Rhinolophus ferrumequinum: one gene and its partner. Each later gene encodes a partner of the first gene's protein in a complex. Links are inferred from orthologs where the notes say so. Each region holds a gene or a part of one and is shown on either strand. Other genes may lie near its edges.

What was found.
Region 2: the proteins of AP3D1 (region 1) and AP3B1 are in contact, whole or in part, in a cryo-EM structure (PDB 9C5C), measured with the Homo sapiens proteins. The link is inferred for Rhinolophus ferrumequinum from reciprocal best matches to the Homo sapiens genes AP3D1 and AP3B1. Residues at the interface, in NP_003929.4 of Homo sapiens: Lys352, Leu442, Ile446, Ser471, Tyr483, Trp487, Glu491, His517, Ala520, Val521, Gln524, Asn525, Lys528, Val561, Gln562, Ser563, Ala564, Leu566, Glu567, Gln569, Glu570, Arg571, Ser573, Cys574, Gln577, Leu578, His581, Ile582, Leu585, Lys588; in NP_003655.3 of Homo sapiens: Asn75, Lys466, Lys467, Gln470, Val494, Ala497, Ser498, Trp501, Leu531, Leu534, Gln535, Asn538, Lys542, Asn567, Tyr568, Asp569, Asp572, Arg573, Arg575, Phe576, Ile577, Gln579, Leu580, Lys586, Gly588, Ala589, Leu590, Ser591, Tyr593, Lys596.

The regions. Positions count from the first base shown.
Region 1 is NC_046301.1:61,103,152-61,113,027, forward strand, and holds the start of AP3D1 (AP-3 complex subunit delta-1), read left to right. Parts: upstream 1-5,040; 5' UTR 5,041-5,291; coding exon 5,292-5,387; intron 5,388-9,876. UniProt on the Homo sapiens protein: Part of the AP-3 complex, an adaptor-related complex which is not clathrin-associated. The complex is associated with the Golgi region as well as more peripheral structures.
Region 2 is NC_046290.1:50,197,396-50,206,418, reverse strand, and holds the start of AP3B1 (AP-3 complex subunit beta-1), read left to right. Parts: upstream 1-4,526; 5' UTR 4,527-4,666; coding exon 4,667-4,794; intron 4,795-9,023. UniProt on the Homo sapiens protein: Subunit of non-clathrin- and clathrin-associated adaptor protein complex 3 (AP-3) that plays a role in protein sorting in the late-Golgi/trans-Golgi network (TGN) and/or endosomes.

The DNA of each region.
Region 1 (9,876 bases):
AAGGAATTGAAAACCTATTTGAAGAAATAATGATGGAAAACTTTTCTAACCTGGTGAAGGAAATAGATATACAAGCCCAGGAAGCACAGAGAGAGAATACCAAACAAGATAAATCCAAAGAGGCCCACACCAAGACACATCATAATTAAAATGCCAAAGGTTAAAGACAGAGAATCTTATAAGCAGCAAGAGAAAAGCAGTTAGTTACCTACAAGGGAGCTCCCATAAGATGATCAGCTGATTTCTGAACAGAAACTTTGTAGATCAGAAGGGACTGGCAGAAAATATTCAAAGTGATGAAAAGCAAGGACCTACAGCCAGTATTACTCTACCCAGCAAAGCTATCATTTAGAATCGAAGGACAGATGAAGAGCTCCCCAGACAAGAAAAAGCTAAGAGTTCATCACCACCAAATCAATATTTTAAGGACTCTTAGAGGGACTTCTTTAAGACGAAAAAAATAAAAAATAAAAAATAAGAATAATAAAATGGCAATAACTACATACCTATGAACAATTACTTTCAATGTAAATGAATTAAATGCTTCAATCAAAAGATGGGGAGCTGAAAGGATAACAAATCAAGACCCTCACATATGCTGCCTACAAGAGACTCACTTCAGATCAAAAGACACATGCAGACTGAAAGTAAAGGGATGGAAAAAGATATTTCATGAAAATGGAAACAAACAAACCAAAAAAAGTTCTTAAAGTGAACTGGCACTTTAAGGAAACTGAGGTATCAATACTTATACCAGACAAAATAGACTTTAAAACAAAGACTATAACAAGACACAAAGAAGAACCTAGTAATCCCACTCCTGGATATTTATCTGAACAAACCCGAAATACTGCTTCAAGGGAACACGCTCATCCACATGTTCATTGCAACAATGTTCACATCAGCCAAGATATGAATGCAACCTGGATGTCCCTGAATGGATGAATGGATAAAGAAGAGGTGGTACATACAGAAGGTGCCAAAAAATATACACACATTTTAAGAAAGGAAAAAACTGTTGAAATTGTAGTGTTCGATATATACTTGGTAACAAGAGATGAATACAAGTTGTGTTTGACTTCTGCAATTACAAAAGGTGCTCAAAGTTGTTACCATCAGCGTCCAGACACTTCTGATTATGGTGAACTACTGCTTGAGCAACGTTGACCAAAGTGTCCACTTGTATACATTTTTTTGGTACCCCTGGTATATACAATGGACTATTACTCAGCCACAAAAAAGAATGAAGTCTCGCCATCTGTGACAACATGGATGGACCTAAAGGGTATTGTGCTGAGTATGGTAAGTCAGACAGCGAAAGACAAATAAATGTCATATGATTATACTTATAAGTGGATTCTAAAGAACAAGACAAGCAAACAAACAAAACAGAAACAAACTCATAGATACAGAGAACATTTTGATGGTTGCCAGATGGGAGGGGGTTTGGGGGTGGGTGAAAAAGGGGAAGGGATTAAGAAGTACAAATGGGTAGTTACAAAGCAGTCACGGGGATTTAAAGTATAGCGTTAGGAATATAGTTAATAATATTGTAAGAACTGTATGGTGTCAGATGGGTGCTAGATTTGTTGGGGTGATAGATGGGAGGGTGTTTCGGGCAGGATGATAAAGGTGAAGGGGTTAAGAAATACAAATGGGTGGTTATAAAGCTGTAGTGGGCATGTAAAGCATAGGGAAGATAATCAATAATATGGTAATAATTAGGTATAGTTCCAGGTAGGTACTAGGCAGGGGGATCATTTCGTAAATTATATAAATGTCTAACCCCTATGCTGTATCCTTGAAATTAATATGAAATAATTTTGAATGTCAAGTGTAATTGAAAATTTTTAAAAAGGGGGAAAAGATAAAGGGAAATAAGAGGTTCAAAGTTCCAGGTATAAAAAAGTCTTGGGGATGTAATATACAGCATAGGAAATATAGTCAGTAATATTGTGATAGCGTGATTATGGTGTCAGATGGTTGCTGGACTTATCATGGAGATAAAAGTGAACTGGCACTTTAAGGAAACTGACCAGGAAGTCGGGACTAGAGAGTAACAGGAAGCCCCGCTCCATCCATGACCTCCCAACTCCCTGGTCGGTTTCCTTAAAATGCCAGTTCGCTTTTATCAATGGTTATCACTTCTTTAGCATAGAGAACATAATCAATTATAGGGTAATAACTATGTATAGTACCAGGTGGGTACTGTTGAATAACTATGATGTAATACCTGAAACTAATATATGTTAGCTATATCTTAATAAAAATATTTTTAAAAATAAAGTGGACAACATATATACGGAGGGTGCCAAAAATACTTATAGACATTTTAAGAAAGGAAAACTATTAACATTGTAACACTCAACATATATATAGATAACAAAAAATGAATGCAAGTCACGTTTTTGTGTGTTTTATTTTTTTTAAAGATTTTACTGGGGAAGGTGAACAGGACTTTATTGAGGAACAGTGTGTACTTCCAGGACTTTTTTTCCAGGTCAAGTTGTTGTCCTTTCAGGCTTAGTTGTGGAGGGTGCATGCAGCTCAGCTCCAGGTCCAGTTGCCGTTACTAGTTGCAGGGTGCGCAGCCCACCATCTCTTGCACCGGCAACCTTGTGGTTGAGAGCCCACTGGCCCATGCGGGAATCGAACTGGCAACCTTCAGAGTTAGGAGCACGGAGCTCCAACCGCCTGAGCCACAGGCCGGCCCTATAAGTAATGTTTGACTTCTGCAATTATAAGAGGTGCTCAAAGTGGTTACCATCAGAGTCCAGACACTTCTGATTATGGCGAACTACTGCTTGAGCAATGTTGATCAAAGTGTTAACATTTCTTAAAATGTGTATGCATGTTTTTGGCACCGTGTGTGTGTGTGTGTGTGTGTGTGTGTGTGTGTGTGTGTGTGTGTTATCAGTGCTGTCAGTTTCCACCATTGAATTAGTGATTAGTGTTTAGACCACTTACTACATTTAATGGAAGTATCAATATGGTCGGGTTTAAATCTACCGTCTTGCTATTTTTCCCTCCTGTTCTTTGTAATCTTTTTCCTCGTTGCTTTATTTTGGATTGACCATTTTTTTATTATTCCATTTATACCTATAATTGTCTTATTAATGATTCCTCTTTATTTTTAGTGATTTTCCTAGGGTTATACCACACTACTTCTTCACACATAATGTAAGACCCTTACAACAGTACATTTCCATTTCCACCTTCTATTCTTATATATACTACTGTGTTACTTTAAATATGTTACAAGTAAACTCACCATACATTATTGTTATTTTTGCTTTAAAGAGTCAATTACCATTTTTGTAAATCGAGAAATAATTATATTTTCCACATTTTAAACATTTCTTGTGTTCTTTCTTTTGCATAGATCCAAATCTCTGTTTGGCATCATTTTCCTTCTGTCCCAAAGAATATTCTTTAACATTTTTCTTAATGTAGGTCTACTGCTCATAAATTCTCTCAGCTTTTATTTGTCTGAAAATATGTATTTTGCCTTCATTTTTTAAAATACATTGTTACTGGATATAGAATTATAGGGGTTTATTTTGTTTTGGTACTTTAAAAATATTATTCCATTGTCTTCTGGTATGAATTATTTATGCTAAAAATCTTAGTCATTCTTAATACTTAACTATCATTTTAGATTAGTTTCACCTGTAATTGAACTTCACATCAATAGAATCATACTTTGTACAATCTTTTGTATTTGTCTTATTGTGTTCAACATAATAATGTGTCTGTGTAATTCATCCATTTTGTTCGGTGTATTAATAATTTGTTATTTTTCATTGCTGCATAGTATTGTGTGAATATGTCACAAGTTACTTATCAATTTCTGTTGATGGACATTTGGGTTATTTTGGATTTTTGGCTAATATAAATACAACTACTTTGAATATTCTTGTCCGAATGTTTGATGGATATATTAATGCATTCTTGTTAGGAACAGTACTGGAATTGCTGGGTCATAGGATATGCATATGTTAGTTTTAAGAAACAGCCAGGTGGGTTTCTAATTTAGCTGTGTAGTTTTACTGTTCTACTTTAAGTATAAAAGAGGAGAGTTCAGCATTTGATGTCATCAATCTTTCTAATTTTATCCATTCTCATAGGGGTACAGAGACATATCACATTGTGGTTTAAATTTATATTTTCCTGATGACTGAGATGGAGCATATAACCATTGTACATATCCACTGACCATTTGGATGTCTTCTTTTCTGAAACGCACGTTTGTTTTTTGCCATGTTTTAAGTAGGTTTTTTTTCTTCATGATTTGTAGGCATTTTTGTCTTGTTCTGCTTTGTTTTCTGCTTGTTGAACCATATTATGGCAATAAGTCCTTTGTCAAATATATGTATTGCAAATGGCTTATCCCAGTTTGTGGCTTGCTTTTTTATTCTCTTAGTGGTGTATCCGGAGGGCAAGCACCGCAGGTATCTCATTCACTGCTGGGTGTCCAGGGATCGCTACCATGCTTGGCACACACAGCAGGTCCTCCAATAAATGTTGAATGAATGACTGCTTGGGAGTCCTAGCTCTGGGCCATGGTTTCCTTTTCCTGCTCATATCACACGATTTTGTGAGACTTGCAAGAGACGCAGAAGCGGATCTCTGCAGCGTAGGTTTTAAGGTTCTCAAGCAGCGTCAGCTTTTAGAATCAGAAAGGCGGAGCAGGATTCTTCTCCAGGAACTTGCCTAAGAAGCTCCACGTGAGCACCCCGCCCACAGCAGGCCCCGCCCACTTCTGTCACTTAACTGAGGGGCGGACTGGGAGGTTTCTCCTAGGGGGGCATGGTTGGAACCGAAACGAGGAAGTGGGTGGAGCTCCTGAGGACACTGACCAATGAGAGGGAAGAGACCTGAGAGGGAGTGGGCGGGGCCATGTGGGCGCAGACAGGGTTGTCTGCGTTTCCATTGGGCGGCCTGGCGTCGTCAGGGAAATGTGATATCCGGAGTTAGGGGGCGGGTCTTAGTGGGAGGCGGGGCTTCCGGGAGGGCCGGCCGCCGCGGCACCCGCGGTCAGCTGACCGGCCGCCATCTTGTCCGCCATTTGCAAGCGCGGCGAAGCGTGAGGGGAGGGCAGTGCGGCCTGCCCAGCGGGTTCCGCCCGCCGCCGCCTCTTCCTCCTCCTCGCAGACCGCCGCGGGCCTGGCCTGGGATCCCGTCCCGCCGCGGCGGCAAGCACTCCGCGGGCGGCAGGCGCAGCCCCCAGACCCCCGCACGGCACTCACCCGCGAGCCTCCCGGGGCTCGAGCCTGCCGGTGGCCGCCGCGATGGCCCTCAAGATGGTCAAGGGCAGCATCGACCGCATGTTCGATAAGAACCTGCAGGACCTGGTGCGCGGCATCCGCAACCACAAGGAGGACGAGGTGAGACCGGAGCGCCGCGCGGGGCCGGCCTGGCTCTGCTCGCGACCCCGACCCTCCATCCTGGCCTGCAGCCCGCCCTAGAGGTCCCGCTCCCGGCTCGAGTCCCACCTGCCCGCGGTCTGGGCGCCGCACACCCTCTGTCCGAACCTCAGTGTACCCCTGAGGGCCCAAGGCGGCCCCAGAAGAGACCCCGGAGGCCCTCAAAGCTGCGGTTCTCAGACTCCCCCCACCCCCCATGTATCTGCTCGCCTGCGGGACCCTGCCGCTGGGTGGCCTCCCTCCTGGAGTCTCAGTTTATACGCTCGGCAATGGGGGCTGCTTCCCCCTCCCCGCCGGTGACTCCGGAAGAGACTTCGCAGGTCCCCTCGAGCGGCGGCCTTCCAACCTTGTGTTTTGGGATCACCTGTTCAAAACATAGGGTCCCCGGCCTCGCCCTAAGCCTCTGGACTCCTGGTTGCGGAACCTTCCTGTCCGCAGGCCGCCCCCAGAGGAACCCCCTATGGGATTAGTGCGTGGCCAGGTCGCTGCCTGCGGCCTGGCCCGGAACTGGTCCTTGCCTCGTGGGCACGTGTCCTGGGGAAGGTGGGGCCCGCCCCTCTTAGAGAGGGAGGGGAGGCTAGGAGTGTCCCTGCCCAAAATAAGGAAGCTGCTAAGGGCTCCTGGAATGGGGAAGCCGACTTTAACTAGAAACCCAAAAGCCAGGGTGAGGGAAAGGTTTCCAGAAGTAAAATTGTAACAGTGGGCACCATTTCCTTCCTTTTTCTCCTCTCCCCAACCTGTGACCTAGATTTAGGAGGAATGGGGACAGTTAGTAGCCACCAGACCTTTGGCCTCATGGATGAGGCCCAAGCCCTCCCTTATACAGTGGGACATTAAAGAAAGTCTCCGCTTTACAGGCTGCATGGAGAGAGGCTACCCTGAGGAGAGCAGCTGTTTGGTGCTGTGCAGGTCCCACTGCCTGAGGCTAATGCCCTCCTCACAATGGCACCCAGGCAAGTGTACTTGACAGACTGGAAGGTGCGGAGGAAGTTGAATTTGCTGGGAGGCATAGGCACCCGCAGCCCAGGTCCCTGTGCTGGGAGCCTGAGTTCCTGCCTGTGTAGCACTTTTTCAGAATAGGTGTGACTTCACTGAAATGTAATTAGGTTATTTTCTCTCATTTCCATCACCTTTCCCTTCCCTGGGTTTTGCTTTATGTTGAAGCTCTGCCTAATGGCAAGTGTTACAATGTGCAGCTAACTCTAGTCCTGATCTTCAGTTTCTTTCTGAGTTAAAAGAGTAGCTGGTTGGCCCCTGTTACCGAGCAGTGGCTAAGCAAATTTGGTTTGCACCCATAGATTTCTTTTTTTGCACTGGTTATCCTCCCTGGTTTCCCTCACTGAGCAGCCTGTTCCAGATGCTGAGGACAGGCCACTGGGCCTTTCCTGCAGAGAAACACACTCCAGTTAGGGCACCTGGGTTTTTAGGAGGGTGTGTCCATCATCACTGGGCAGTACCCCGACCCTTGGTTTCTTCATTTGGAATTGGTGGAAATTGATAACGTCTTTCCCACAGGCTTGGGGCCCATTCAACGGGTGCATTGATGATGGAAGCATTTTTTAAATAGCACAGTGCCAGGCTGGTGCTGGAAGTCCTCAAAAGTCAGGTTTCTGCATGGACCTTGCCCTTAGCCTATTGGCGATTCCCAGCAGAATGTGGCACAGACACCTGTGATCTTTTGTATTCAGGTTGTCATGGTCTCGAGGGTCATTACTGAGACGTCACTTCTGACTTGACTTTCATCTCTGTCCCTGTGGCACTGCAGGCAAGGATTGCTGAATTACTCTGCTAGTTCCCCCACTCTCTAAAATAGGCTCTCCCCTCCCACCCCACCACACCCCTTCAAGAGACTTCTGACAATATCGTTTTTTCTGTACCAGTACAATTCCCTCCCCCCTGCAAAGTTTACTTTTTATGATAGATTTTAGCTTAAAACATCCATATGGTATAGAAATGAGGCTTAGCAGTAACTTTAAAAACCATGTGGAAAGGCAGGGTGATTTAGTGGAAGTTATATTGTATGAAGTTTAGGAGACCTGAGTCCAAGTTCTTGGACCTGTTTAACTGTGTGACCTTGGGAAAGCCCCTGACTGGTTTCCTCACCTGTAAAGTGGGGGCGACAGCTGCCTCCCCTCCTCACAGAGTGCTTATGAGGGTGCAGTAAGTGACGTAATGCAGGCTTCTGTGAGTGCCAGAGCATCCCAGGAAGTTGTCTGCCTTGCTATTTCCAAATCTCATTCTCTGACCCCATAGTGGGTTATGAATTCAATTTAATGGGTTATGTAAAAAAGAAAAACGAAAATCCCAGACCGCAAGCAGCACGTAGGGTAACTCTTGTTTCTTGATAAACTTTTAGTTCGGCTTAGGATACTAAGTGTACCTGTATGTGTGTATTGGGTTAGCATGGAAAGCATATTTCTTGAAATGAGTCCTCAAAGTTTGAAAAATAGTGGCCTAATTCACACATTTATGGGTGCTTGAATTTATTGTCCTTAAGATACAGCAAGGATGATGTTGGCAAGTAGGGGGGAATCCACTGGGGAATGCTGTTGCTTCTAAAAGTTGGATACGACTAGGAGAAATCCCTGTCGCGTCCTGCACGACGAGGGTTGTGGGGAGTGAGGAGGGCAGCGCAGGGTTAAGAAAGACAGTAGCCCTGAATAGAGTTTAAGCGGGGGCCAAGGGACCGGCAGCCTCAAGGACTGGACGCCCTGAATTGGGCCTACGCTTAGCTTTTATTAGTTAGGTGGGTAAGTAAAGGAGATAAAGCTTGTCAATCTCAAGATCTGTGAATCCCACACATCATAATAGGAAACTGATACAAGCCAGTCACCCTTGCCTGCAGGCAGCAGAACCGTGAGTCTCAGGATGTGTGTACTTCCCTGAGGGACAAAACCTGTATGCATATGAATAGATGGAGAGCACACCATTGAGTCTCTTCCCCTGCAGGTTGTGGGAAGGAATGCAGCCACTGAGGCAGAGGCTCTCCTTGGGGCGGGGGGGAGGGGCTGTGCCCACCTCTATGAACCCCGTGGATTCTCCTGTTGGTCCCCACTCCACTGCGCCTGGCTTGAGTTGTCCGCCCCCTGCCCCCTATGGGGAATCTTACCCGTCATTGGCTGACCAGCCATCCTCCGGGGCCAAACAGGGAGACATAAGGTGCAAGCTCAAAGGTGAAGCACAGTCCCTGAAAGGATTAGTCTCACAGACTCTCCTTCCTTTAGGGGCAGGTACGAGGGGACAGACGGGTAGGCTGCTGCGTGACAACAACCCCAAGTGACTTAATATTTCATTCTCATGGGTACTTTTTATATTTCAGGGGAAACTTTTTCTTTTAATCTAACTATACCCATAACTTTTTGTAATAAGCTTAGTGTTCATTAAGTTAAAAAGGACAATACCTCTCCCTGCGAATCAGTTTGGTGTCTGTACTTCTAGACTGTTGTCTGTTAGTAGAAATCACTGATGACTCTGTAGGTTTAGACTGTTGGGATTTGCCATGAGTGTAGTCTCACTGCCAGCTTTCCCTGTGAGCGTAGCCAGTCCCCCTCGGGTGGGCATTAAGTGCTTCCAGTTTGCTTTCTGGGGCCACAGTTCCCTCCACTGGGCACAAACTCTGCACACACCTGTTGGTATTTAGGTTCTGGGAAGCCTTGTACGTGTGGGCGTCTGCTGCCCCTGCCTGGTGCTCAGTACCCAGTGACTGCACGCCCTCCCTTGCCTTTGCTTTGATACTCGGTTTAGACCCCGCTCCTGGAAGCTCCCTGCACTTCCCAAGGCTGTGGAGGCCTCCCTCTGTGCCTCTAGGTGAGCCCCCAAGCTGGCGTCTCTGGGGGCCCACCCACAGGGCTCTGTGGTCTATCACCTTGTGCTCCAAAGGCCACGCTGCCGCTGCCCACTCCCAGCTGGTGACAGTGCACAGAGCCACCTAGGCAGGTGACTGGCCTTGCTAAACTTTCCTTAGCCACTTCCACCCAGCGTTTCTTCCCTGGCCCTTCACTCAGGGCCAGACCCGCATGGCTGTCTCCCAGCTCCCTCCCGTTTCCTCTTGTAGGAGTTGTCCCTGACAATATCCAGGTACATTTAACCCCATCCTGGGGTCAGCTACTACTGGGAGGCCCTGGATTGAGTTGTTAACCTCACTCCCTGTCACCAGTCTCCAAAGCCCATGCTGACACTGCAGCCTCCCCTTTTGTCCCCTGGGGCTGATGTTGCCTGTTGTCCAGGGCCCCGGGGTTGGGACTGCCACTTTGGACCCACCTGGTCCTCTAGATGGGCTGCCTGTGCCCTTGAGGACAAGGGTGGGGCTGGCCTCTCTGCTGTGGTCATGGGGTCTGTGGCTTCCTCCCTCCTGGTCTTGGTCTCCCCCCGGGCCCTGGGTGATCTGACTGGTCAGCTAAATAATGGCACCCAGGGATGTCCCCATCGTAGTCCCCGTGACCATTGAATG
Region 2 (9,023 bases), on another chromosome or scaffold:
GGTACAGCAGAGTAATTAAAAGTGTAGACCCTGGAGTCTGGTCTTGGTTCAAAGAACAGCTCTGCTATTTTATTAGCTGTGTAAACTTGGACAAGTTTCTCAAGCCCAGTTCCTCAGTTTTTCACCTGTGAAATGAGGATGCTAATGGTAACTGCCTCACAGGATTGGATGAGGATTGAATGAATTAATATATGCAAAGCACTAAGAAGAGTGTCTGGAACATACTAAGATAATTGAACTATAACAGTGGGATGGTATGTGAGTGATTTTTGAATTATGTAATATAATTCATAAAAATAAACAATCAAGTATTTTTTAATATATGACCATTAAATATTTTCACCATTACTGCCTTGTGTTATAGCATTGTACATATTCAAGTAGAGGCTTGTCTCTTCTATTATGATGTCTTTTGAGGATAAGGCCTGGCTTTTCCTCGAGTATGTTCCCTACGTGATCTCCAGCACGTGCCATGTACAAGGTAGTTCCATAGGTATTTGTTGAATGTATTAATAAAATATTCAGATTCCTCTTTGCACATAAATATTTCAGAGCTTCAACATTTAGTAAGCAGTGTTAGAAGGAAGCTGATCCTATCATTTCAACATTTAGCGGCAAGTCCAGAGATTTTGTTAACATAGATTTGCTTCCACATGACGCAGTATTCTGAAAGTGTTACTTCCTTTTCCCTATTCACAAGAGTTTTATTTTTAAATGAGGATGAGAACTAATAATTTTTAGAAACTTTGAATCTCAGAAAGGTTAAGAACATGCCTTGCCTTCATACATCTTGCTAGTGAGGCAGTCAGGGTTCAAACGTGGGTCTGGCTGATTGTCCTTTTTGCTGCTAAAGTGAAGTGGAAAGAAAGGCTATATTCACTGACTTCATAAGTGAGCCTCAGAGAAGACATACAGGAAGAGATTTCCAGTAGTCCTGTCCTTCAGCAGTGCTTCACTTTGCTGAGCACATTCCCTAGCTATTTAAACTTCTTCCAAAACCCAGGAGTGATAAACTTCTTTCAATGTATTAGGAATAAGAGGGAAAGTATAATGACATGATCATTTTGTATAACTTAAGCCTTTGCCTCTGAGATTAAGGCCATCTAAAAGTCTTCAATAAGAGAATCATAAGTGGCCTAAAATATTCCCTTTGTGATATTTAGTAATATAGCCTCTCTTTATTCATAAATCGTTTCAAATAAACATTAGTGATGATCTCATGTAGGGTTGAAGACACTGCATTTTCCAAATCAATTTCATTATAAAATATAATAATGAGGTCATGGCATTTTCAACACATACATTTGCAGGTATGTACCATTTTAGAAAACCTAAAGAATGAAAAACCCCAAATGCTCGATAAATTGGAGGATTGCATCCATTCAATTTCAGAAGAGTTCTTCATGTTCCAAATTGATCAATCACTGCGGTTCTTTAAACAGGAAAGCATAACTCATGTTCATTTAACAGAAGAAACTTTGTACTCTATTTGGAAAAATTCTCCTTAATGTAATGCAAGTATTCCACAGGGATGTGTATTCGAGAGTGACATATAGTAACTAAACAGATTAGCTGTTCCAATAAATTCTGTAACCAGTGAGGGTGGGGATTAGGGGGAGGTGCTATATCAGAATGAGTGGTCCAGAAAGACCTCTCTGCATAGGTGATATTTAAGCTAACAGCTGAGTAAAAGCCTGAATAAAGCTGAAGGAACCAGCCTTTTGAAGACCTATTGGAAGAATGCTGCTGGCAGAAAGCTCAGCAAGCAAGGTCTCTCAGGTCAGAACAAGCTTGGTGGATCAAGGAACAGAAAGGCCAGACTGTCTGGAGGGCAGTAAACTAGGGGGAGTGGGTCACAATGAAGTCAAGAGATGTAAATGAGGGCCAGATCAATCAGGACCATGATAAGTGCATATAAATGACCTAACTTGGAGCTTCAAGAGCTTAATAAATGGAAACTCTTAGTCATTAGAGATCATATTGTTTTATTCATAATTCATTTTTTTTAAAAAAAATAGGAGTAGCTTTATTTCTTATAATGAATTCAAATGAACACTTAGAAAATACTTGTGAAATTTGAAGCTCAGATCTTCACTAATCCTGTAAATTTTAAATTCTATTAAAATCATAAGAAGAGTTATTTTCTAATAGTAAAGGCTGCTAAAACTATTTTTTATGGAATTTGTCTTACAAATATTTGTTTATTGTTTCTAGCCTAGATTTATGCTGAGGCTATTTTGTCCCAATCCTCAACCATGAGACCCCTCAATCCCAAAAACATTTTCCTGAAATTCATTCAATTTTTGTAGTTTAGTTTTAATCAATCTGGAATTTACTTATAAGTATTACGTGAGTTAGAGATGGTGGTAGGCTGCATGATGACTCCCAGTACATATCCAATTCCTAATTCCTGGAAACTGTGACTATTACCTTATATGGCAAAAGTGACTTTGCAGATGTGATCGAATTAAAGATTTTGAGATGGAAAGATTATCCTGGATTATCTGGATGGGCCTTAAATGTATTCACAAGTGTCCTTAAAAAAGGGAGGCAAAGGGAGATTTGACACAGATTGGAAAACGCAATGTGAAGACAGAGTGGATCGAGATTTACAGATACTGTGCTGTTCGCCTTGAAGAATGGAAGAAGGGGCCACAGCCAAGGAATGCAAGGAATACAAGGGATGTAGCTTTGGAAGCTAGAAAAGGCAAGAAAGGGCTTCTCCCCTAGAACCTCTGCAAAAAGTGGCCCTGCTTATACCTTAGATTGTGCACCTTAATTTTGAACTTCAGGACTCCAGAAATATAAGAATAAATTTATCCTTTTTGAAGCCACCAAAATTTGTGGGAATTTGTTACAGCAGTCATTGGAAACTAATACAGAGATCTAACTTTACACGTAGTTAACTAATTAATTGCTCTAGTGCCATTTATTGAATAATACGTTATTTCCTAAATGATCTGAAATGTTAACTTTACTATGTCAATACCTGCATATAGTTGAGTCTTTTTCTATTCTGTTCCACCAATCTATTTACTCTTGAGAAAAATACCAAACTTTTAAATTACAATAACTTTATAGTACATTTAAATGAGTGGTAGCATAATTTCTTCATCACATTATACTTTTTTTTTTTTAAATTTTTTTGCTTTAAGCTGCATTTATTCTTTCAGGTGAACTTTAGATTGAATTTGTCTAGTGGAAAAAAAAGTTGAATTTTGACTGAAACTGCATTAAATATACAGATTCACTTGAATATTCCTATTCAGAAACAGATTATCTTTTCATATTTCATATATCACCCTCCCTATTTAAACTGCAAAATTTCATAGTTTTTCTTCACTTAGGTCTTATACAGTTCTTAAGGCTTATTTCTTAAGACTTATTTGTTCTACTGTGGAATAGGATCTTTTTAAAATTACATTTTCTAATTAGATACCATTGGTGTGTCAGAGTGCTATTGTCTTTTTGCCTCTGGCAACTCTGCTTAATCAATTTAAGGTGTAATAATTTTCTCTTAGATCATCCAGCAAGATAATCATATCATCTGCAAATATTATTATAATCGTTCTCTTCTTTTTCACTACTTATTTTTCTTGTCCTATTGGATTAGCTAGAATCTAGAACGTGTAAAATGATAATGGCGTTAATGGGCCTAGTTGTCTTTTTATTGATTTCAGCTGGAATGCCTTCAGTGTTTCACTATTAAATAAGATGCTTTAGATTGTATAATTTGTGGTGGAATTTTAAGTTTATCTGTATGTGTATTTTATCTTTATATATATATGCATAAGAATGCTAAGAATATTTCTGTTTCTAGGTTACTATTTCTTTAAATCAGAAGAGCTGATGACGTGTTACTAATTTCCAATATCTATCAACATATATTATATACTTATATTAAGGATAAGTTTCTTAATGTTGAAAAATTCTTTTATTATATAAAAAACTATTGGGTAATTTTAATGTTTGCATTTTCTGTTTAGTATTTTATTTAGAAAGTCTATAGCTCCCTTTTCTTTGTATCTTCAGGCTTGGATATCAGTAAAACGCAGCGGAGAGAAAGGTTTCATTCAAGTGGAGAGGGATGGGATAAGGATTGCCTAGGGTGGATGTGAAAGTAAGGCAACACTGGCTGGAGGCAGAGGAGCAGAAACCAGTCTAACGAGGAAAAGCGATCCCGGTATTCTTAGGAAAGTTGATCTGGTGTGTTAAATGGCGTTTCAGGAGAAATCTGAAAGCTATTGATTTACAGCAGGAGGCAAGCAAAGAGGTGTCGGGGCTCGGGGAACCAACCTCCTTAAAGGATCAAAATGGGTGCAATGGATACCTTCCTCCTATGAAACTTTAAAAGCCGAGACCAGTTAACGGCAAGCGCAGGGCCTCCCTAAGGCACAGCCTATGTCCAAGCCTCTCAGCTACCTCAAAAACCCGGAGAACGTAAATCCAGGCCGGCCCTGGAGTGGCCGGCGGTGGGCTCCGGCCAGCTTGCACACTGGGCATGCGCAGGGGGTGGACCGCCTGGTCGGCTTAAGAAGCCGTGACGAGTCCGGAAGCGCCTGCGCGCGCCCCTCCGAGAACTAGTTTTGTTCCGTGTCTCTCGGGCTGGAGCGGGTCGGAGAGAACCTCGGGCAGGACCAATACGATCCCTGCCAGCATCGCAACAATGTCCAGCAACAGCTTCGCTTACAATGAGCAGTCCGGGGGAGGGGAGGCGACGGAGCTGGGTCAGGAGGCGACCTCAACCATTTCCCCCTCCGGCGCCTTCGGCCTCTTTAGCAGCGATCTGAAAAAGTGAGGAGGAAGGTTTGGGGTGCAGGGACGGGATTGAGGAGCTGGGGACCCGGGATGAGCGGGCGCCGGGCTCGGGCCCCCGGAAGGGGGTGGGATCGTCCTGAGACTTCTGCGGGGCTGGGCGGAACATTTCCCGCAGGTGGGTGGGGTTTGGTCTTTTGGGAGTGGAGGGAGTTGATGGGGACTTGGGGTGAGTGTGTGTAAGGGTCTCTGGTAGTTTCCAAACTTTAGTGCAAGAACCATTTGGAGAGCTTACGTCCCACCCCCAACGATTCTGATTGAGTTGGTTTAGGGCATAGGAATCTGAATGTTGAACGAACACTTTTAGCCAATTTAACGATTGCTGGATCAAACGTGGAGAAATTCGCAATTAGGGTGAAAGAGTTTGGGGAGTTGAGAGGGAGAGTTGGAGTGTGAGTGTTGCTTATGGGAAACAATTCTGTGACTCTGGAGTGGAGGTGCAAGGAGGTGTTCAGGCGCTTTATGAATAGATAATTTATACAAACATTAATGTTCTTGGACAATATCCTTTGCACAACAGACAAAAACAAAACCAACCCAGTTCCAAACTAAATAATAAGCATATGAGTAGAGAATAGAGTTACTATTTACAAATCCTAAAATTTTATAAGTTAATAATGTGAATTTTTAAAACAAATACTAAACAAGGTGCTCTTAGTTTTTAAAAATATGGTAAGAATATTTTAAGTACCACCATAAAATGGAATGAAAACACCCCCAAATTGTTTTTTTTTTGTGGGAGGTGTTAAACTTACAGGATGTTGGTAAGATTTATATTTTGTAATCCTTTTTTACATTTTTCTTATTTTTGATCTCTCAATACTAAACAGTATGGTTACATAATGGGTTCTCACTAGATTCATGCTAAATTAAAGTACTTGTTCTCGGTTGCTTTGCTGTTGTCAGAAGAGTATATTTAAATTTTGATAATAAGTTTTACTAACAAGATTGGGCCATCTGGAAAGTGCTCCAGTAGTTGAAATTGGGATTACATTTTGACTATTAAGCTTATTGAAATCTTGTATACATCATGTGGAATACAGTATTTTTCTTTATTCTCAGGTTAGAAAAGTTTAAAAGTAAAATAACTGATTTCTTCTCATTTTTCATTCTGTGCATTTAGAGGATGGATTGTTCTAACAAGGGGCTTGTTGCAGTTCTGTTGACAAAATGTTTCAACTGTAGAATTAACCTATAAGTCTACCTCAGTCTGTTTTGCATGTGATTTGCTTGCAATTTATTTACTTTTATGGTTTCTGAACATCTATTTTTCTCTTAGAGCCCTTGATTTCCTCTTTTGTCAGATTTAGGTCTGATTTGGAAAAAAATGTATGGCTCTGACTATGAGCAATGTGCTGTTGAGGTGCCTGAGCAGGCTGGCTTTAAAATAAAAATAGCCAACATGTATTTGAGTGCTTGTGCATTTATTATCTTTACATTTATTATCTCATTCAGTCCTGCTAACAGCCCTGTAGCTTGTTCCCAGATGTTGTACTTCTCTGATCCCACTTTGCAGATTAGGAAATTGGAGCACAAATGGTTAACTTGCTCACAATCACAAAGCTAGAACACTGCACTGTCTGAATTTGAACCCAGACACTCTTCTCTTAGAGCCTATTCTCTAGTGCTTGGATGTGCTACTTTCTACTTGATGAAATTTATGGTGCTTTTATTAGAGAATGCATACAACTCATTAAAAGTTTAAAACTGTGAAGAGTAGCTGTAAACAGTACATGACCTTGAAGCTTCCAGGAATTAGAAACATTTTGGCTATTGAACTACAACCTAATGAATGGGGTTGTACCAAATGAGACCCCTGTTCTGGAAGTGGTCACTTAATCTTTCTTGATCCTATATTCTCTCATTTGTAAAATGGTGGTATTTCTTGCCTTTAAAAACAAAACGACAAACTTTATATAAAACACTTAAAGCTTACCTTGTTTCTCTGCTCTTTTGAAATAGTTTCAGGTTTACAAAAAAGTTCTAAGTGTAGTACAGACAACTACCCTTTATGCACTCGCCAATTTAAAAAAAAATTTACTACATTGCTTTGTTTCTCTTTGTCTCTCTCTGTATACACGCACAGACACATACACACATTCATACTATTATTTTTTCTGAACCTACATGATGTAGGTTGTGTACATCATGTCCCTTTACTCTTAATACCTTAGTGTGTAGTTTTTAAGAACAAAGATTGTCTTACACAACCACACTACTGTTATATTCAGGATATTTAACATCAACATAATCTACAATATAATTAGTATAATCCAGTGTTGTCTCTTAATCCAGTAAAGAATTTTTTATTTTAGCAATTTTTTCCCTTCAGTACAGGATACAATCCAGGATCATGTATTTCATTTAGTTGTCTAATCTCTTTAATCTGGAATAGTCCCTTAGCCTTTGTCTTTCACTACCTTGACACGTTTGAAGAATGCACGCCAATTAATAGCACATTAATCAATTTGGATTTACTGGTGTTTCCTATGTTTAGATTCATGTTATGTATCCCTGGCCAGAGTATTAACGTAAGTGATGTGTCCTTCTCAGACTATTGTATCCACAGGCGTAGGATGTCCATCTTAATAATAATTGTCTAGTTGTCCATTATTTCTTTTTTACCAGTAATTTATCGATGGGGGGACACTTTGAGAACATGCAGATGTCTTGCTCCTCATTAAGTTCACCACCCCCTATATTTAGCAACCATTGATGAATCTCCTGAACTAGTCTTTGCCACGATGGCTGCAAAATTTTGATGTTCCACCTCTGACTCCTACTATTCTGCTCTTTGGCCTCTTGTCCTAGAGCCCTGTGTCCTTTCATCCTTCACTAACCATCACAAGGATGCCTGATCACTTCCTAGTCACAGGATTATTGATGATTTTGTTTTTTAAATTTAATCTTATTTATCAATTTTATTTATCCTCACGCCCCTTTAAACAAAACCAAAATTAGGGAGTTTTAGAAACTCCCTAATTTTAGGGAAGATCCTATATATCATTTATTGGTTAATCAAGCCTGTATATTAGATTGTTGGCTTCACTATTTTCAGTTCTTGATTTAAAATGTAAAGAATTAATTTTTTTGTATTTCTTTTTTTGAGACTGTTGTAAACTTTTCTTGCTTTTAGTTTTTTTCCTAAATTATTTTCGTTTGTCTTAAACAAGCTCTTTTTTAATCTTTACCAACTGCCTGTGTGTATAATTTAAAAATAATTCTAATTTATTTCTGGATTAAACATTTAGTTAGGAATTAATTTCTAGAAGGAAACGGGACTAAATTAATTTTTCTTAATAATAGTAAGACTACTAAATCTCCTGATTTCTTTTAAGAGCATCTCAGTGCATTAGAAAAGCATTGGACCTAGAGTGAGAAGACCTGGATATAAGTTAATGCTTTCCACTTGTAGTAATGTTTCCTCATTCAAGTTGTTTGATCTCTTCAAGCACTGTCCTCATTTCTAAAAAGGGTATGGTAATACTTGCCTGTCTTATGAAGTTCTCACAAGGTGGTGTAGTTAAAAGTGATTTCTAAACCAGTATATTAACTAACACTATTTGGAAAAGTTAGTGCAAGTTTCACTGACGTGGTGACATGTTAGGTCTGAAAGCCTGAGGTTTTTACCAGGTGGAGGGAAGGAGTTTTTCAGACAAACCAGGTAGAAACCAGGAGAGCTGCAAAAGAAAACGCATGTTCAGCTGACATACAGATTAAGGCATCAGCATTTAGAACTTTAGGTAGTAATCAGAGCCCAGGAATGGATGAAACCATCCTGGGAGAACTTTTCTTGTTAGAGGAGAAGGCTATTTAGAGAAGTCTCTAGGCAACACCAATATTTTAAGTGTGAATGGAAAAAGAACTAGGGAGAAAGAGAGTGCTCAAAGGGATAGGAAACCAGAGGAAGCTTAAAAAAAAAAAGGAAGCTAAGAGTAAAGTTAGTAAGAGAAAACAGTCACCTATAAGGGGTTGCATAATGAGGACAAAGAAGAATAAAGGCAGAAAAGAGGCCTCGGGTTTAACAATGAAAAGGTCTTAGCAACCAGTGACTTAGCAGTGCAGTACCACTTGAAACACATGGAAATGTAGCATTTTTAGTCCTTGATGAAATTGGGGTGGACTTTTCATTTGTTTAGGTTCATAGAGCCAATTTAGTATGCTTTTCTGTAGTCATACTATAGCATGTAATTATGATACAATCAAAA